Macaca fascicularis: one gene and its partner. Each later gene encodes a partner of the first gene's protein in a complex. Links are inferred from orthologs where the notes say so. Each region holds a gene or a part of one and is shown on either strand. Other genes may lie near its edges.

Region 1 (10,634 bases):
CTCTACTAAAAATACAAAAATTAACCAGGTGTGGTGGCGCACGCCTGTAATCCCAGCTACTCAGGAGGCTGAGGCACGAGAATCACTTGAACCTGGGAAGTGGAGGTTGTAGTGAGCCGAGATCACGCCATTGCGAATTGCACTACAGCCGGGGCAACAGTGCGAAACTCCGTCTCAAAAAAAAAAAAAAAAACAAAGAAGTATAGCTAATAAGACAAGAGTGGGAAAAAAACCGGAATGCTAAAAAAATACTTGATTAGTCCAAAAGAAGACAGGAAAGGAACAGAAGGAACAAATAGAAAACTAATAGCAAGATGGTGAATCTAAATTCTACCATATCATTAATTATGTTAAATATGAATAGACCAAATATTGCAATGAAGGCTGGGTGCAGTGGCTCACGCCTGTAATCCCAGCACTTTACAGGGAGGGGAGGCCAAGGTGGACAGATCATTTGAGGTCAGGAGTTCGAGACCAGCCTGTCCGGCATGGTGAAATCCTGTCTCTACTAAAAATACAAAAATTAGCTGGCCTTCAAAGGATTTCAATTATATAATGTTCTTTGACTACAACAGAACTCAACTAAAAATTAAAATTAGAAAGGTATCTGAAAAATCCCAAATTATTTGGAAATTGAGACACATACTTCTACATAAGTTATAAGGCAAAGAAATAGCATGAAAAAAAAATGCGGCTGGGCGTGGTGGCTCACACCTGTAATCCCAGCACTTTGGGAGGCCAAGGCGGGTGGATCACGAGGTCAGGAGATTGAGACCCTCCTGGCTAACACGGTGAAACCCCGTTTCTACTAAAAATACAAAAAATTAGCCGAGGGTGGTGGTGGGCGCCTGTACTCCCAGCTACTCAGGAGGCTGAGGCAGGAGAAAGGCGTGAACCCGGGAGGTGGAGCTTGCAGCGAGCCGAGATCGCACTACTGCACTGCAGTCTGGGAGACACGGAGACTCTGTTTCAAAAAAAAAAAAAAAAAAAAATTCTAGGCGAGGTGTGGTGGCTCACGCCTGTAATGCCAGTATGTTGGGAGGCCAAGGCAGGTGGATCACCTGAGGTCAGGAGTTCAAGACCGGCCTGGCCAACATGGCAAAACTCTGTCTCTATTAAAAATACACACAAAAAAAATTAGCCAGGCATGGTGGTACATGCCTCTAATCCCAGCTACTCAGGAGGCTGAGGCAAGAGAATCGCTTGAACCCGGGAGGCAGAGGTTGCAGTAAGCCAAGATTGCACCACTGCACTCCAGCCTGGGCAACAGAGCAAGGCTCCGTCTCACGAAAAAAAAAAAAAAAAATTATATTCCAGCACTTTGGGAGGCCAACGTGGGTGGATCACTTGAGCTCAGGAGTTTGAGACCATCCTGCGCAACATGGCGAAACTCCATCTCTACCAAAAATATAAAAAATTAGCCAGGCATGGTGGCATGCACTTGTGGTCCCAGCTACTTGGAAGGCCAAAGTGGGAGGATATCTTGAGCCCAGGAGGTGAGGCTGCAGTGAGCCAAGATCATGCCACTGCACTCCAGCCTGGGTGACAGAGCGAGACCCTGTCTCAAAAAAAAAAAAAGATCAAGATAAAATGAGAGAAACATAAATTACCAATATCAGGACTGAAAGAGGGACCATCAACACAGACACTACATCCGAACCATAATAATGCAAAATTATTAACAACCTGATGTCAACAAAATCTGACAACTTACGTGAAACAAATTTCTTGAAAGACACAGATTTTGTCCAAAACTGACCCGAGAAGAAATAGAAAGCCTGAAAACTTCTATAGCTTTAAAGGAACTGAATGCAGCATCAAACTGTACATTTAGAACAACATTTCATTGCATGTAAATTATTCCTTAATAAAGTTAATTTAAAAAGTTAGAAAAACAGGACTAAACTATAATGTATAGTGTCTAGGAATGCACTATAAAACTATTAAAGAAACAAGGAAATAAACACTAGAAATCTGCATCATGTTTATTTGGGGACAGAAGGAGTTTATGATTTTAACAGGGCATATGGAAGGCCTTCCAACTGCAGCTAACCACTGACTAGGTGCTAGTTACAAAGACCTTCACTTTACGGAAATTAATTAAACCATGTTTGTTCTGTGCGGTTTTCTGTATCTGTGCGCTACTTTACAAGACAAGAATATAGGGATTTTTTTTTTTTTTGAGATGGAGTTTCGCTCTGTCGCCCAGGCTGGGGTACAGTGGCGCGATCTTGACTCACTGCAACCTCCACCTCCCAGGTTCAAGCAATCTCCCTGCACCAGCCTCCCAAGTAGCTGGGATTACAGGCAGATGCCACCACCCAGCTAAGTATTTTGCATTTTTGGTAGAGACAGGGTTTCACGGTGTTGCTCAGGCTGGTCCTGAACTCCTGACCTCAGGTGATTAACCCGCCTTGGCCTCCCAAAGTGCTGCAATTATAGGCGTGTGCCACTGCGCCTGGCCAAAAGGCTAAGCACTAGATTTCAAAACTGAAAATTGCAGCAGGGCACAGTGGCTCACACCTGTAATCCCAACACTTTGGGAGGACAAGGCAGGTGGATCACGAGGTCAGGAGATCAAGACCATCCTGGCTAACGAGGTGAAACCTCATCTCTACTAAAAATACAAAAAATTAGCTGGATGTGGTGGCATGCACCTGTAGTCCCAGCTACTCAGGAGGCTCAGGCAGGAGAACTGGTTGAACCTGGGAGGCAGAGGTTGCAGTGAACCAAGATTGTGCCACTGCACTCCAGCCTGAGTGACAGAGTGAGACTCCATCTCAAAAAAAAAAAAAAAACCTGAAAATTGGGCCGGGTGCAGTGGCTCACGCCTGTAATCCCAGCACTTTGGGAGGCTGAGGCGGGTGGATCACCTGAGGTCAGGAGTTCGAAACCAGCCTGGCTAACATGGTGAAACCCCATTTCTACTAAAAATACAAAAAAGTAGCTGGGCATGGTAGTGCATGCTTGTAGTCCCAGCTATCCAGGAGGGTGAGGCAGGAGAATTGTGCCATTGCACTCCAGCCTGGGCATCAAGAGTGAAACCCTGTCTCAAAAAAAACAAAAAACAAAAAACAAAAAAACTGAAAATGGTGCCTTTTTTGTCATGAAGAACTCTTTTTTTTTTTTTTTTTGAGACAGAATCTCACGCTGTGGACCAGGCTGGAGTGCAGTGGTGCGATCATGGCTCACGATCCTCCCAGCTCAGTTTCCCTTAGTAGCTGGGACTACAGCCCACGCCACTACACTCACCTAATTTTTTCTATTTTTTGTAGAGATGGGGGTCTCACTTTGTTGCCCAGACTGGTCTCAGATTCCTGGGCTCAAGTGATCCTCCCGCCTTGGCCTTCGAAAGTGCTGGAATTATAGGCATGAGCCACCATGCCCAAAACTGACACTCTTTGACCACTCCCCACCAGAATCATCTCCATAGAGGCTTTGTGGCATTTCAGCATTTTCTCTTTAGTCTAAATGTCACTCCTCCGAGGTAATGCTCTGATCTCTTTGGAGGGTACACAATACCTTTGGCAGGGAGGGTGTCAGTGGGAGAATGCTTTAAATAAAGTATCTCAAAGAACTTCAAGTTAAATGACATGTCTATTTAATAAATGTGGCCACATAATTTAACAATGAATATATGCAAACTATATACTGACACATAAAATAACTGACAGATACACAGAAATCTAGCTACTTGAAGAGTGGTTTACATTGGCCTCTGTCAACAACACGCTCACCAACCTACTGTCCCTAGCGGGGCAGCACACACCGTGGCTAAGAAGACAGGCACTGGAGTCAGACTCCAGGTGCAGGCCCAGCCACACCACAGCAGCTCTAACGCCTGGGCAGGTCCCTGCGACACGGAAAATGCCCAACAACGGCACCCCCTCCATGGCTGCGGTGAGGACGGGCTGATGACAGGCACACAGCATAAGAACCAGAAGAACCCGAATGCTACCCAGCACACGGAGTGCACTTCACTCAAGGGTCAGCTTCCATCAGTGTTTCTACATCCGGGATACTGGCTATGGGTATTTGTTCTTCTGGGAAAAAGAGGGGAAAGCCTCTTACCCTCCTTTATGCTTCTTTTTCTTTGGTGTATCTTCCTCTGATGTCCTCCTGCCTCGGCCCCGGGACCCTCTTTTTTCTTTCTGACCCCGGCCTTCTGAAAAACAATCAAGATGAAAATTATTTTTATAGAATTCGCTAAAGCAAGGCAAGTTTTGTGTTTTGTTTTTAAGAAGGAGTCTCGCTCTGTCTCCCAGGCTGGCTGGAGTGCAATGGAACAATCATAGCTCACCGCAGCCTTGACCTCCCAGGCTCAAGCAATCCACCCACCTCAGCCTCCCAAGTAGCTGGGACCACAGGTGTGCACCACTACACCCGGCTAATTTTTAACTTTTTTGTTGAGATGAGGTCTCACTATGTTGCCCAGGTTGGTCTCAAACTCCCAGCCTCAAGCAATCCTCCTGCCTTGGCCTCCCAAAGTGCTGGGGTTACAGGCGTGAGCCACTGTGCCCAGCTTGCAAGACAAGGTTTACCCAAATATGATACTTACCCTAGTGATCATACTTCAATGATTTACTGTGACAAAACTTCAAAACGCCATAGTTAACAGTAATAAAGAAAAAAATTTAACAGACTTGCTTTTTAACCCTCGCCCTCCGGAGCTTTCAAAATCACTGCCCTCCATCTTGTCCTTCAGATCTGCCTCAAAGCGCGCCAGGTCTGCGTCAAGCCTTCGAATGTGTTTATCCACCTACAAAAGGATACCCAAAGTCTTGTTTTAAAGTAAAACTGAAACACCTTAGAAATCACAAATGTACAAAAGTATCCACTAGGAAATGCCTTCTTGCCCTTTAATTGAGTCGTCAGTGAACAAACCTCTGCTAAATCCAGGCCCACTATTTCAAAGTCCATGCAAGGTCTTGTGCTTTTTCTGCATATTTTGACTGCAGTGGAATGAATCCCATTTAAGGAAAAGACAGGCGTGTGGGCAATAATGAGAAGCAGAGTTGTGAAATGCGGTGAACAAGGCCTGGGATATCTGACGCTGAATCCTACTTTAAAATGTGGCTACCTGGAGGCCAGGTGCAGCGGCTCACACCTGTAATCCCAGCACTTTGGGAGGTCGAGGCAGTCTGATCACCTGAGGTCAGGAGTTCGAAACCAGCCTGACCAACATGGTAAAATCCCGTCTCTAATAAAAATACAAAAATTAGGGCAGGCGCAGTGGCTCATGCCATAGCCCCAGCACTCTGTGAGGCCGAGGCGGGTGGATCATTTGAGGTCAGGAGTTCGAGACCAGCCTGGCCAACATGGCAAAACCCCATCTCTATTAAAAATACAGGCCAGGCACGGTGGCTCACACCTGTAATCCCAGCACTTTGGGAGGCTGAGACAGGAGGATCACCTGAGGTCAGGAGTTCGAGACCAGCTTGACCAACATGGAGCAACCCCATCTCTACCAAAAATACAAAATTAGCCGGGCTTGGTCGTGCGTGCCTATAACCCCAGCTACTCAGGAGGCTGAGGCAGGAGAATTGCTTCAACAAGGGAGGCGGAGGTTGTGGTGAGCCAAGATAGTGGCATTGCACTCCAGCCTGGGCAACAATAGCAAAGCTCTGTCTCAAAAAAAAAACAAAAACAAAAAACAAAAATTAGCCTGTTGGTAATGCCTGTAATCCCAGCTACTCAGAAGGCTGAGGCAGGAGAATCGCTTAAACCTGGGAAGTGGAAGTTGCAGTGAGCTGAGATCATGCCACTGCACTCCAGCCTGGGCAACAGAGCAAGACTGTCTCAAAAATAAAATAAAATAAAATAAAAAATAAGTAAAATAAAATAAAATATGGCCACCTGGAGGTTGGGCATGGTGGCTCATGCCTGTAATCCCAGCACTTTGGGAGGCTGAGGCGGGCGGATCACTTGAAGTCAGGAGTTCGAGACCAGTGTAGCCAACAGGGTGAAACCCCGTCTCTTCTAAAAATGTAAAAATTAGGTGGGGGTGGTGCTGCATGCCTGTAATCCCAGCTACTTGGGAGGCTAAGGCACGAGAATCACTTGACCCTGGGAGGCGGAGGTTGCACTGAGCTAAGATTACACCACTGTACCCCAGCCTGGACGACAAAGTGAGACTGTCTCAAAAAAAAAAAAAAAACCAAATGGTTCCTCCGAGCAGATACACAAACAAAAAGGGTCCAGAAAAAAAAAAAAAAAAAACAAGGATGGTCCCACATGAAGTGTATCTTGTCTGTATTTCCTCCAGCAGCGTCAGGCTACCAAAGCTAGCCTTCCACTTGGCTATGCCCATTTCTGGGCAGTTTTTACATTTTGTTGCATGAGAGGCAGTAGAGGTCGGAGGAAGACCCATGGCCCCCGCCCCGCCCTCACCATCTCATAGGTCTGCGGGTGCCGTGGCCCCCGCCCCGCCCTCACCATCTCATAGGTCTGCGGGTGCCGTGGCCCCCGCCCGCCCTCACCATCTCATAGGTCTGCGGGTGCCGTGGCCCCCGCCCGCCCTCACCATCTCATAGGTCTGCGGGTGCCGTGGCCCCCACCCACCCTCACCATCTCATAGGTCTGCATGGCCAGCTGCACTTTGTCATCGCTGTATTCCTTGCACTTGCTGTAGGCATTCTGGATCTTCTGCAGGCGCTCCACGCGCTGGTCTGGAGATAGCGTCTTCACCGTGGAGATGTACTCTGCAGCCAGGATGTCAATCTCTGCTTTCTTATCTGATGGAGAAATGGGGGAAAAGCTAGCCCTGCACAAGACACCACGATGGGCTCACTAGACCGGCAACAACTAAAGTCAGCCAACACCAAGTTGTGGCAAAGACGTAGGCTGACATGAACTCACGCCGTGCTGGTGGGAGTGCAAGTGGGCAGAACCGTTCTGCACAAACAGTCTGGGATCATGTGGATGTGCAGACTTTACGGCAGCGTGCCCAGAACAGTCCCAGTTCTGAATGTTACACAGCAGGTGGTCACAGTGCCCTCTTTGACTCTCAAACATCCTGTGTGAATAATTAATTATGTAGTCACCTTTCCTATGCCCTGGCATACTACTCTTTTTTTTGTTTTCTTTTTTTTTCGGTAGAGCAGTCAAGAAAGAACATACTACTCTTAAACACCCTAAAGAAACCTTATGTAACCTAAAGAAATACACGTGGGAAAACATTCATAAGAGCAGGAAACAGAAAACAACCCAAATGTCCAATCCTCAGTGAAATGGAGAAATCAGATGTGGTCCCTTCAGACAACAGAGTGCTACTCAGCAACAAATAGAGCAAACCACAGCTACACACAGCAACACGGATGATTCCCACAGAAGGTGACACAGAGCAAAAAGAGCAAGAAACAAAAGAAAACATACCGGATGATTCCATTAATACAAAGGGCAGAAACAGACACAGCTCGTAACTCTTTGGTTTAGAGAGGTAAGAAAACTACTGTTGAAGGCCGGGCGCGGTGGCTCACGCATGTAATCCCAGCACTTTGGGAGGCCAAAGCAGGTGGATCATGAGGTCAAGAGATGGAAACCATCCTGGCCAACGTGGTGAAACTCCGCCTCTTCTAAAAATACAAAAATTAGCTGGGCGTGGAGTTACGCGCCTATAGTCCCAGCTACTCAGGAGGCTGAGGCAGGAGAATCACTTAAACCCAGGAGGCAGAGGTTGCAGTGAGTCGAGATTGTGCCACTGCATTCCAGCCTGATGGCAGAGCGAGACTCCATTTCAGAAAAAAAAAAAAAAGAAAACTACTGTTAAAGGTGGAAGGTGACTATCACCAAACTCAAGATGGTCACCCCTTGGATGGATGGGTGTCATGACTAGGAGGGTCACAAAGGTCTTCAGGTGCTAAAGGGCTTGATTTCTCCATCTCAGTAGCAGAAAACAGAGAGGTTCACCTGGTAATATTTGTTAAGCAATCTATAAATGTTGTACCTCATTTCTGAATATATGTTACATTTTGCAATTAAATAACTCTCTATATTCCCTAGTCAAGATGCTGTACCTAAGCGAAAAAACACAGCTATCTCAGTCTTGCAAAACGTGTGCCTAGGCCGGGCACGGTGCTCATGGCTGTAATCCCAGCACTTTGGGAGGCTGAGGCGGGTAGATCACCTGAGGTCTGGAGTTCGAGACCAGTCTGACCAACATGGAGAAACCCCATGTCTACTTAAAATACAAAAAATTAGCAGGGTGTGGTGGCGCATGCCTGTAATCCCAGCTACTCAGGAGGCTGAGGCAGAATTGCTTGAACCCAGGAAGTGGAGGTTGTGGTGAGCCGAGATCGTGCCATTGCACTCCAGCGTGGACAGCAAGAGCGAAACTCCATCTCAAAAAAAAAAAAAAACAATGTGCCCAGCATAATGCATAAAAAATCTCAGGCCAGGCATGGTGCCTCACGCCTGTAATCCCAGCACTTTGGGAGGCCAAGGCGGGCAGATCACCTGAGGTCAGGAGTTCGAGACCAGCCTGACTAACATGAAGAAACCCCGTCTCTACTAAAAATACAAAATTAGTCAGGCATGGTGGCGCATGCCTGTAATCCCAACTGCTTGGGAGGCTGAGGCAGAAGAATCACTTGAACCCGGGAGGCAGAGGTTGTGGTGAGTCGAGATTGCGCCACTGCACTTCAGCCTGGGCAACAAGAGTGAAACTCCATCTCAAAAAAAAAAAATAAAAGACTCCCACACCAAAACACATTACCATGAAATTTAAAACTTCAGAGATACATCTCAAAAGCTTCTGAATAGGAATAACAACAACAAAAAAAGATCACACATATAAAGGACCAAGAATCCAAACAGCACCAGATTTTCTGCAGCAACGTGGAAGCGAGGAGACAAGGCAGCAATGCCGCCAACTTCCTGAGTGAAAACAATTGTCAACCTGGGATTCTATACCCAACCAAACTATCAACTGAGTATGACGCTAGAACAAACACATTTTTAGACATGTTACGTTACAAGAAAATCTACCTTCCTTTTTTTTCTTCTTTTTTTGAGATGTAGTTTTGCTCTTGTTGTCCAGGCTGGAGTGCAATGGTGTGATCTCGGCTCACCGCAACCTCCACCTCCCAGGTTCAAGTGATTTTCCTGCCTCAGCCTCCCAATTAGCTGGGATTACAGGCACGCGCCACCACACCCGGCTAATTTTGTATTTTTAGTAGAGACGGGGTTTCTCCATGTTGGTCAGGCTGGTCTCGAATTCCTGACCTCAGGTGATCTGCCCGCCTCGGCCTCCCAAAGTGCTGGGATTACAGGTGTGAGCCACCGTGCCCGGCCAAGAAAATCTACCTTCCTATGGGCCTTTTTTCAGGAACCTACCAGAGGAAAGGCTCTATCAAAACAGGAGAGCAAGTTAAAAAAAAAGAGGACATTTAAGATTCCAGGAAGAGGGTCCCACACTGAAGAGGGGTGAAAGGAGATCCCAGGAAAACCTCAGGGCAACAAGTGTGCAGTAGGCCTAGAAACAATCAGGACTGTGGCCTCCAGGACAGAGGGTTCCATGGAAAGAAAACACACACAGAACTGTCAGGGTAGACAGCCTGACACTCAGACCAAACGGAAAAGCCCAGCCTGGGAGACGAGGGTAGAATGCAGAAAAAAAAGCCAAGAAACAAGGCAACGAGTAACTCTAAGAAATACGCAAAGTTGGCAGGGCGCGGTGGCTCACGCCTGTAATCCCAGCACTTTGGGAGGCTGAGGCGGGTGGATCGTGAGGTCAGGAGATCGAGACCATCCTGGCTAACATGGTGAAACCCCATCTCCACTAAAAATACAAAAAAAAATTAGCCGGGCATGGTGGTGGGCACCTGTAGTCCCAGCTACTCAGAAGGCTGAGGCAGGAGAGTGGCCTGAACTTGGGAGGCGGAGCTTGCAGTGAGCCGAGTGAGCCACTGCACTCCAGCCTGGGGGACACAGCGAGACTCTGTCCCCAAAAAAACCAAACCAAAACAAAAAAAACAACAAAAGAAATACGCAGACTTATTCAAAAGGGGTCAAATATATAAGCACAGCAGGTGGCATGGCTCAGTGTTAAAGTACCTACACGGTTGCCCAATGGAAGTCCCATCACTGGTCTCACCACAAATTCCAACTAACTACAGCCAGGAGATGGGGGAGCAAGGTGCAGGCAGGTGAGCTGGTGGGGGCCACTGGAGAAGTACAGCTGCATGTGCCATATATGGCTGAACAAAGTTTAAAACTGACAAAAGATAAAATAAGAAACAACAACTAAAACATGTTGTTTAGAAATAGGGAGTTTAAGGGCCGGGCGTGGTGGCTCATGCCTGTAATCCCAGTACTTTGGGAGGCCAAGGCAGGTGGATCATGAGGTCAGGATATCAACACCATCCTGGCTAACATGGTGAACATGGTGAAACCCTGTCTCTACTAAAATTACAAAAAATTAGCCAGGTGAGGTGGCATGTGCCTGTAGTCCCAGCTACTCGGGAGGATGAGGCAGGCGAATCACTTGAATGTGGGAGGTGGAGGTTGCAGTGAGCCAAGATCGTGCCACTGCACTCCAGCCTGGGCAACAGAGTAAGACTCTCTCAAAAAAAAAAAAAAAAAAAGAGAAATGTAGTTAGGGCCAGGCATGGTGGCTCACGCTTGTAATCCCAGTA
Region 2 (10,634 bases), on another chromosome or scaffold:
TATTCAGTATGTATGAGAGAAGGTCTGTTTACAGTGGGGAGTCCTTCAGAGGCGAATGAAGGCTATTTGGTCATCCCAGGTATGTGACCTTGAAGTGAAGGCTTCTACTCTCCTATCTATCCACATTTATTTTTCTATTTTTTTGAGATAGGGTCTCGCTGTTGCCCAGGCTGGAGTGCAGTGGTGTAAACAAGGCTCACTGGGGCCTCAATAGCCTGGGTTCCAGTGATCCCCTGCCTCAACCTCCTCAGTAGCTGTGACCACAGGCATGCACCCTATGCGCAGCTAACTTTTTAACTTTGTAGAAACCGGGTCTTGCCATATTGCTCAGGCTGGTCTCGAGCTCCTGGGCTCAAGTAATCCTTCTGCCTCAGCCTCCCAAAGTGCTGGGATTACAGGCATGAGCCACTGTGCCTGGCCTTTATCTAATTGCCAACCACACTAAAAGTCCTATAATTATAATAGCTGAGCCAAGAGGTGTGCGGAGATGGACCAGGCACCTGATTTGAAAGCTGTAAATTACAGACACCTTAACTAGAAAACTGTGAGGCAAGTCCCTTCTATAAGAGCAGGTGTCTGAGCCACAATGTCTATCCTGTGACCTGGTTCTGCCTCTAACATTATTACCACAATTTAAATCACTGAAGCCATCTGTGTCTTGGGTGCCTCACTTACAAAGGATCAACACCTCTTTTTGTGAGATTCAACTAAGATTGTATAGAAGTATTCCTGAGTGCCAGGCAATTGGGATGGTGAGAGAGAGACAGGATTCTAGCAGTATCTCCAAGCAACAGGCCCCCTCAGGTTGGATGGGCCTCATGTACAGTTACTTCCCAATAGCAGGATCTCTCATTCTTTTAATGCAGTGTTCTCAGCACTGTATGGCTAAGCCTGATTCAGCTGAGAGGATGACAGTAACTGCTACCATCTACTGCTATATGCCAAGTGCTTTATAAAGGGTATTTCTAGTTCTTAGAACCCTGCAAAGGTACGTATCAGAAACCCCCTATTAGGAATAAGGAAACAGGCTCAGAGAAGTTAACTAATTTTCCTGTGGTTACACAGCCAGTAAGAAATTGGGGATTTGAGCACAGGTATGCCTAACTTCAGGCCTTAGGCTCTTGCCTCTATAAACCAACTTACTCCCCTGACACAGAAAAGTTTTGGCCAGATGAGATGGGAAGGTATTGTTGAAAACAAAATGTCAGGCAAGAACACAGAAAAGCAAGTGCTGGCCACACAGTCCAAAGTCACCACATAAAAGTACATGAGAGACACAAAAAGCAAAAGCCAAGAGCAGCCCTCCCTGCCAAGAAAGTGGGTCTTCCCTAACCCACCAAGACCTAAGTACTCTGCCCGGCTTCAAAGTCCTTCACATTCAGTCCCATCTTACCCATCCAGTCTTGGCTCCTGATGCTCTGGGAAGCCCCTCTCTAAGCTGTCCCTCACAGAGATTCTGTCCTCCTCCTTGTTCCCACAGACCCAGGCCTGAGGCCTTCATAACCATTCCTTGCCAGTCTGCCCTCATCCCACAGGGCCAGCTCAGGCCAACTCCTACAGCTCAAATTCCCTGAACACCTCTAGCAATGCTACCTCTCACCTGACAAATAACAACATACTGTTCACCACTGTGATTTCTCTACATTTTGAGAGACTCATTTGCCCAATGGCCTGTGAACCTTCCAGAGCTGGAATTAAGTCTGACTTATTTTATTACTTCCCCACACCTACTCATGACTAGCTCTTGCTCTTGCTGGATGTATATTAAGAACACTTTAGGCGGGGCGCAGTGGCTCACGCCTGTAATCCCATCACTTTGGGAGGCTGAGGTGGGTAAATCACTTGGGGTAAGGTGACCAGCCTGGCCAACAGGTGAAACCCTATCTCCACTAAAAAAAAAAAAAAAAAAAAAGAATTCTCTTTAGTGATGGAACCTCCATTATCTACCTCTATCACCACCTCACCCCACTCCAACCCCTCTACTGCAGCCAAACTGGTTCCCTCACTGTTCCTCAGACATGCAGGCATGTTCCCACCTCCAGGGCCTGTGTACTTTCTAGTCTATCTTTTTGGAATGTTCTTCCCCTAGACATACAAATAGCTCATGCCTTCAATTCCTTCAGATCTTTACTCAAACGTTACCTCTTTAGAAGACCTGGCCACCATCTCTAAGACCACCCTAGAATTCCTTCCCTGCTAGATCGTTCTCCAAAGCTTCTAATACAAGATACAGTTTACTCATTTGCTTTTAATGTATTCCCCCATAAGAGAGGAGATTTTTGTCTGTTTTGTTCATTGATTTTTTCCCCCAATGCCTAGAACAGTGCCTGACACAAATATTTGATGAACTGAAATGAAGGTAGGAATCATTTTACTTTATACAACATTGCTTTACCCTCAGGGCCAATGAGAGTCCCAGACACAATCTGGCTCTCTGGAAAATACCTGCTCAAAGCCTATTTCCCCTGGCTGCTACTCACATGCCAGGCCCAACTGTGAGCTATGGTGCCCTCAATGCTACTATTGCTGTCCAATGGGGCCATTAGAGAGATGGCCAATTGGGGAAGGTGCTGATTGGCAAGGCAAAGCAGAAAAGCAGATGCGAAGTATCAAGAGAAGTCACAGGCAGGGTCACCTGTCTCTTCCTCCTGCTGGGGGGACCTCTCCCCTTCGCTCTCACTACAGCTCCCGCTCCTTGGCCGCTTCCGGGAGTGGCGCTCATCCTCGATGCTGGCTGGAGAGGCAGGAGAGCCTGCCACACCATGGTCCTCGCCATTCTCCAGGGCCCTGTCTGGGCTTCTCTGTAGCTTAACCCCATTCTTGGCCTTCTTGAAGAGGACTGATGTGCGGCGACCCACACCACTAAGTGGGGTACCGCCCGGGGTGTCAGGGGCCATGAGGGATAGTCTGTTGATGCCATTGTCACTGAGCAAGCGTTGCAAAGGCTCACTCCCTAGCTGCAGCGGTGATTTTTCCAAGAGCTCATCTTCTTCCACCTTTCTGGGCTTTAGGAACCGGCTTGGAGGTTTGCTATCATTGATGGGTTTCAGAGTTGGGGGCTCCGGCGGGGATTCTTGCTCAGACAAGGAAGGTGCAGGCCCAGTGGGCTCCAGGGTTGGTGGAGGAGGCAGTTTGGAGTCATCTATTAGAAAAAAAGAGAACCTGCTTGAACATTTTAGAAAGAGTCTGCTCCTACAGGCTAGATACTGACACTGATAACCAAGGACCAAAAGCATGGGCTGTTACAAGGCTTGAGATGCATTCAAGGTCTTAGATCTGAACAGGCTAGATACTGACACTGATAACCAAGGACCAAAAGCATGGGCTGTTACAAGGCTTGAGATGCATTCAAGGTCTTAGATCTGAAGCAAAGAGAAAGGAGGATTAGGTTTGTTTTCTTTCAGAGACAGGATCTTGCTCTGTTGAGCAGGCTGGAGTGCAGTGGTCTGATCACAGAGCACTGCAACTGCAAACTCCTGGGCTCAAGTGATGATCCTGCCTCAGCCTCCAAAGTAGCTAGATCTACAAGTACACACCACCACGCCTGGCTAATTTTTTAAAAAAATTTTTGTAGAAACAGAGTCTTAGTATGTTACCCAGGCTGGTCTCAAATTCCTGGTCTCAAACAATCCCCCTGCCTCTGCCTCCCAAAGTGCTGGGATCACAGCGATGAGCCACTGTACCCAACCCCAGAAGAAGTAAGTTTTATCTACACTAGTAGTTCTTAACCCTGGCTATGTATAAGAATCACATAGGAAGTTTCTTAAAAATTCCAGTGCCTAGGCTCCATCCCATACCAACTGAAACCAAATTTGTAAAGATAGGCTATTTGTTTTTTAAAGCTTACCAGGTGAGTCTAATGAAGTGAGGATTGCAAACCATTGCTCTACACCCAAGAAAGTCACATGCTTAATCAATAAATAGGTAAGTCTCAGCTTGACAGATTAGGTATCTACAATTCTCACTGGACTCAAGAGTTTTCTCATCTGTCTTTCGAGTTTATTTCACATCACCCAAGTGACAGCAAGTACAGCATGCAGAAAAAGTTCAAAAATGTGAAAAACAGAGACCAAGTAAGTTAAATCAGTGGTTGCCAAACATGTCTGCTCACCTACCACCTTGAAACTTTTAAAAATTGAGACTTCCAAGCCAAAGCCCAGACATCCCTAACTGAATCTATGGGAGGTGAGGCTACGACATGTTTGTTTTTTTTTTTTTTTAATTTTCTAGGCGATGCTGTTGGCCTACTGGGCACAACTCTGCACTGCCACAGCCCCAGAAGTAGGGATACAAGTGGCATGCTGACTGTCACATGGGGAGTCCAGAGGAATCACAACGGACACAAAGCCCTCTGATGTCAAATGTGATCTCTCAACCATGTCCCCATTCTCTGCCAACCTGAAATAAAATGGGCTGTTACCTACAATCTGGGCCCCTATCCATTGGAAGTAACTTCCAACCTTTTGAACTGTGTGTGTGACAGGCTCTCCCAACCTGTAGGCTCAGATCCAAAGGCAGGTATGAGGGAGACAATTCCATCCCCAATGAAGGGGAAGAATGAGAAGCAGCTTAGCTTATAACGTTCCTGGGTTTCTGAGAATCACTTCCCCAGCTGTCTTTTCTTCTTTTTTGTCTTTTCTCAAGATTAAGAAAATCTGTGGAAACCAACTATCTTTTATAGTCTGGCCTCTCTACTTGAGATGGGCCTATAGATTCAGCCAAATGGGGTAAAAACCATGAGGTGGCTCAAAAGCCCGGGGTCTTTCCTTCTCTGCTATCCCCTCACATCCCAACCTAACCTGCTCTAAGAGTCTCTCCACATGATGATACAAGGTAGGCTGATATTTAACTGGTATGTACAATATGGCTGTATCAGGTGCAAAATACTGACATACTTAATTGGCTAATAAACAGCTGCTGGGCTGCAGCACCTGAAACTCCCCACAATCCAGCAACTAAATATTCACATCAGAAGCCTTTGGGAGCCCACTCCAATACAACAGCCAACATTTACTGAGATGGATAAATTTTGGTCTCTATTGATTGTTAAATATTTTGAACATCATCCCTGCGTATACATGGAAATGTGACCCTTCCAAGGGCTTTTGCTTGCCCATAAGTGTCAGATCTAAACTCGGAAAGGATACCCCATTATTAGATTTCAGCTTAGCCTTTATCCCTCTTTACCCTCCAACCCCCTGCCTGCCTGTGACTATCTCTCACCTCTGTCCCCATCGTCTTCTGGCTCCTCCTGCAAGGCCTGCTCCAGCACAGCTGCATCCCCCTGGGGCCCTGCTGGCAGCTCCCCATTGGATACTGTCTTGTTCAGTGATGGTGGCTGTGGTGGTGGTGGCTGTGCCAGCTTCTGCCGAAGGGCATTGATCTCCCGGCGTAGCAGGCGGACACGGCGGGTGCGGGCCCCACTGGACCGCATGGCGCTCACCAGGTCCAGTTTCTCCAGCAGCTCCTTCAGCTGCACCTCTGGGGACAAATGGGCCCGGTTCTCTGGGATGAGGATGTTGTCCACTGCCAGGGAGAAGGGAGGACAGAAGGGGCTGAAGGACCTGCCCAGCACAGGGCAAGAGAAAGGGGCCGAATCCTTCGGATGCAAAACTCTCTCTTGGAATGCCTGGGCCAGCAGCTTCCAGCAGCGTCACTGTGGGCCTTGGCCCTGCAACACCACTGCCCAGAAGGCAGCCACAGGGACAAGGTCAGAATCTGGGAAACGTCTGCAGGAAGCAGTTCACAGTCACGATTATGGGCTCCATGGAGCAGGCATGAGGCAGCTTGGCAATACCCTGGCCTGAGTGACTGGCTGCTGCCATCGAGAAGCAGAGAGCAGGGACAGGCAGCGTGTGGGGCTCAGAGGCAATTCCATTTTTCTGGTCCTCCACCTGCAATCTTCTGAATGAGCCAGACACACACCAGCAATGCACTCTCCCTGTCCCATGCTCCAATGCCATACAGAGGGGATCCAAGAAAGGAAGACCTCTGATGAGGCTTTAAGCTTTTCAAACAGACCACTAGTACCTGATTCCCCTTTTCTACCACTTAAGAAGTGCTGAGTGCGTTAGTTAAACTTTAACCCTTAGAACTATTCTAGCCACAAAGGTATACCTCAGTCTGTGCTCACCCTCAGCTTTGCTCCTGGAGTCTACCTATAGTCCCAAAGACCACCCTGATCCCTCACTCTGTAGACTCTGTTCCTGTGCCTCCTCCTGGCCCCTCTCCTCCCCACCCATCCAGGCCTCTCACCGTCTTCCCAGGAGAAGCGGTAAAAGTCTTCCAATTTGGGTGACTCGGGCAGGTGAGTGCCCCTCTCGGGGTCATAGCCGATGTTCTCTGCCTGCCGCCGGGCATGCCGTAGGATGGCCCCTCCCAGGTCCCGCAGGCGGACAGCTGCTCGGTGGAAAATTGTGTCTTTAGCATTATACTTCATGCAGTTGGTAACTATAAGGTTAAAGTCCTCCTCAAACTCCTCCAAGGTGCGGTACAGGTGGGACTCCAGCTTCCGCCTCATAGTAGAAAAATCCATTGGCTTGGATATGAATTCCAGGTAATCTGGAACCTAAACATATAAAACCTGTACAATTACAACAACCATTTACTAGCCAAACAGGCACACCCTTCACCAATACTCTTGGCCTCCTCGGTTTCTGATTTGGCCAAGCCAGGCTAACTCAGAGTCCTATGGTCCTGGCCCACCCTGGCCTGCTGACCCCTCATCAAGGGCAAATCTACTAGCTTTGCCAGACCCACCCTCCTACCCCTGGTTTTGTACACCCTGTGGCCCAACTCCTTCCTACCCTACTCAGACCCTGTTCCAGTTCAGGAAGAATTTACTACTTGGAAAGTGGGGGGAACTTGCCTCACTCAAGTTGACTGGTTCTGCGAAGATGTGTGCAGGATCCTTCTCCTGCAGCAGGTCCAGTGTTGTCCTCAACAGAACATTGAATGGCATCAACTCCAGCTCCATGGCAGCCTGCTGGACTTTGACCTGTGGGGAAGGTGGGGTGAGATCAGATCAGGACATCTCCTGCAAAACTGTGCTGAAACTTTTTCGTGATAGCTTGACTTTTACCAATCATGTACAACAAATTTTCATAGAATATTGAGCTGACCAGTATGAGGAGCTATCACTCAACCTTCAGCCTAGGAATAATGATACCAACAGCTACTATTTTATGATTGTTTCCTATGTACCAAACACCATACTAAAATTTACAGTAATAATAATTATCATTACAATTACAATAATTAACACTTCTATAGCCCTTACTAAATGCCAGGTAATGTTCTAAGCATTTTATGTAAAATAAATGAGTATATGAGGTAGGAACAGATGAGGTACTTTACAAAGAGGAAACTAAGGCACACAACGACTAAGTAACTGGCCTAAAGTCATAGCTAATAAGGAACGGAGTTGGAATTCAGTACCAGACAGTGGTTCCACAGTGAATGCTCTTGACCATTATGCCACACTAACTCTGTACTTGTATTACCTCTATTAATCATCACGATAACCCTGAAACAGAAATTATTATCCCCATTTTACAAATATAGATCAGAACAAGGATCACCAAGGACTAAAAGAAAAAAAATACAAATTAAAAAAATATATATACGGAATCTGAGGATTAGAGAGAGCATGATGCAAGAGTTATTACTCTAAGGTTATCTGGCTAGAAAAGAATAGAGATAGGATTTGAACCCAAGTCTGACTAGTCCAAGGGACACAATGATGATGTAAAATGTGCTTGAATCAGAATTTCCCATTCAGTGTGCTGAGGTACTGATTCCATCAGCCCTTGGAGCATCTGGGTCAGCATGGGGTCACCAGGGCCTCCAGGTTTACCCCCACAAGTGGCAAGTAGCTTCATATATTTACAGTAGTATGCTGTACAAATGCTATTTTCTACATATGCCCCAATGTGAAAAGTTGGGAAGCCACAAATTAAGACTATAGAAAATTCCCACCTTTTGGCTATATCAAAACAGGCCTGCCTACTTCCCCAGGACCAGGGCCTTTTTCTCTCTCTCATTTCTCTGAATCAGAGATGAGATAAGAAGTTCAGCTGTGGGATCATGCCTGGGATAGCACAGACATTTTGAACCCTTGAAGAAGGTCCTGAGATGTCCTCCATGGCCACCCATGGTAAATATGGCATGAGATGCCCAGGCTATGAGGAGGAAACTCAGGCTACTGGCCTGCTAGAAAAGGGGTTGTGCTAAGGCTGAACAATGAATTAGAATTTGGAGAAAGAGAAAGAAACATCTTTTTTTTTTCCTCCCTTTTTATGGAGAACAGGTCTTGCTTTGTTGCCCAGGTTCGTCTCAAACTCCTGGACTCGACCTATCCTCCTGCTTCTGCTTCCCTAAGTGCTGGGATTACAGGCATGAGCCACTGTGCCCGGCAAGAAAGGAACATCTTTAACCCGGGCCTCTGAAGCATGTGAGCGACAGCTGCTATTCCTAGCCCAGAGAGAACAGTTTTGGCTTTTCATCTACTCAATTAATAGTATTTGCTCTCTGCCATGTGCAGTAGACACTGCAGGGAAGCAAAAAATTGATAATAATAATAATGACAGCAGCTGACACTTCTCTGTCACTATGTGCCAGGCACTGTTCTAAACTCTTTACATAGACTAAGTCTTCTAATCCTCAAAACAACCTTATGATGTAGGCTCTATAATTACCCCCATATTCCAGGTGAGAAAACCGATGTATTAAGCGATTGAAGAACTTGCTTAACGTCACATAGGTAGTAAGTAGAAGAGGCAGGATTTAAACCCAGGAAGTCTGGTGCCATAGCTCATGTTCCTAAACCACTATATTACACTACCTACCTCAACATTTCCTATGCTCAGGGGCTTAAAATCTCCTAGAACGGAGGATAAATAGAAAATTTAAATGATTCAAGACCATAAGTGTTTAAGAGTCAAGTGGGAACCCTCAGAAGTTCCCAGGCCAGAGGCTTTCAACTGATGATGCCCATTAGAATGGCCTAAGAAGCTTTCCAAAATCCTCAAGGCCAGGCTCCCTCTGAGACTTCCTGAATCAGAAATTCCAGGGACGGGCCCAGGCATATATATGATATTAAGCTTATGCTTGAGGCTACCAGGAGCTGAAACCCAAAATATAGAAACCACCAGTAGCACCACAGCTAATACAAAGTAGGCAGCTCTTGGAGCCTACAATCCTGGGTAGGGAGGGGAGAAAGCAAGCTAGCATAAGGCAGGGGCTCCCAGATTTCCCAATACTAGACTGATAGTGGGAGAAAGTGACCTTGAACTAGGGCTCTAGGGCTGGGGGCTCCTCCTTACCTGCTCCCGTTTGAGCTTCTCTCTCTTCCGAATCAGCTCAATCAGCAGCCGCGCCCGCTCCAAGTCATGCCGGAGCTTCTGCCAATACTTCAGCTCTTCCTTCACTGCACTTGTCTTCTCATCTTGCTCTCGCTGCAGGAAGGAAGAGAAGAGGGACTAGGAATCTCCTTCTTGCAAAAGTCCTCTCCCTGTTCACACCTCCTGGGGCTGCAGCAGGTAAAAGTCTTGTCCCCTTCCTTGACCCACAGTTCCAAGAGCCCTTCCACCCTTCTCTACCCCATGCCTTCCTCCTGAGCTGCCCCAGTATTATAGCACTGTTTCTTCATTATAAAGCAATAACCTTTGCTGGAGTAGGATCTGGGACTGCTTCCCCCTACCCCCAGGTATACCAGAGAGCAGCTATGGCCCTTTGGGTCAGAAAGAATTTCATTAGGAAACTGACCTCAGGGGTGAAAAGAATTTCACCCTAGAGCTTTCACTTGGCTAGAAAACAAAGCGAGGTTCTTACTATAAGCTTGAACATACTTTGGTAAAACAACAACAAACAAATTATGATTCCTGCCCTAGAAAAGATTACAGTTGGAGTCAGGGGAAGGGAAGAGACCTAGAGCTTGAAGCACAAGGGCATATTAGCATAAAGATAATAAAAACTAATAATATAAATGCTAAGAGGATACAAAATAGAAGATCTGAGTAGGTGGAGGTTAGATCAGAGAAGCTTCCTGGTGAAGAATCTTACTAGAGTTTTACATATAGGTAGGTGACAGACATGGATGGACAAAGTAGTAAGGAAGGTCTCTCCTGGAACCAAAGGTATGAAAGGGGTAGAAATGTAGAGGCAGAATTAGTGATTCTTTGCTTAGTAAGCAAAACAGGCTGACCAGAACAGAGATGCTGGAGAACTACAAAAGTCAAGGAAGATCCAGGATACAGCTAATAAGAAGCTTCAAATGTAAGGCAAAAGAGCCTTAACTTCACCTGCCTAGAAAGAGGAGTATACTCTGGAAGAGGAAGTAAGAGAATGGAAGAGCAGGACATTGCTCACCTAGGCCTTGCTCCTCTCCATAGTCAGACATTCCTGCCCCAAAGCCAAGCTTATAAAATCAAGAACTAGGCCTTTCCCCAAAGGACAGATCCCCACCAATGTCCCTGCCAAGCACACCTGCCCAGATGTAGGCAGCACCCTCCCTCTACAACCTCTTGGCCATGGAGGATCCCAACAGCATGTGAATAAGAAACTACCAGTTGTAGAGCAAAGAAAGAATTAGAGGCTAGAGATCACCTAGAAAGCTATTGCTGAGATTAAGAGGG

The links.
Region 2: ING5 (region 1) and BRPF3 share a complex: the UniProt entries of both Homo sapiens proteins name them as parts of the MOZ/MORF complex. The link is inferred for Macaca fascicularis from reciprocal best matches to the Homo sapiens genes ING5 and BRPF3.

Annotation. Positions count from the first base shown.
Region 1 is NC_088386.1:137,645,467-137,656,100, reverse strand, and holds part of ING5 (inhibitor of growth protein 5), read right to left. Parts: intron 6,735-10,634; coding exon 6,568-6,734; intron 4,760-6,567; coding exon 4,648-4,759; intron 4,166-4,647; coding exon 4,072-4,165; intron 1,164-4,071; coding exon of another isoform or gene 1,158-1,163; intron 1-1,157. UniProt on the Homo sapiens protein: Component of the HBO1 complex, which specifically mediates acetylation of histone H3 at 'Lys-14' (H3K14ac) and, to a lower extent, acetylation of histone H4. Component of the MOZ/MORF complex which has a histone H3 acetyltransferase activity.
Region 2 is NC_088378.1:135,456,801-135,467,434, forward strand, and holds part of BRPF3 (bromodomain and PHD finger-containing protein 3), read right to left. Parts: intron 9,456-10,634; coding exon 9,324-9,455; intron 6,998-9,323; coding exon 6,869-6,997; intron 6,584-6,868; exon of another isoform or gene 6,569-6,583; coding exon 6,256-6,568; intron 5,683-6,255; coding exon of another isoform or gene 5,654-5,682; exon of another isoform or gene 5,533-5,653; intron 5,527-5,532; coding exon 5,224-5,526; intron 3,163-5,223; exon of another isoform or gene 3,143-3,162; coding exon 2,636-3,142; intron 1-2,635. UniProt on the Homo sapiens protein: Scaffold subunit of various histone acetyltransferase (HAT) complexes, such as the MOZ/MORF and HBO1 complexes, which have a histone H3 acetyltransferase activity.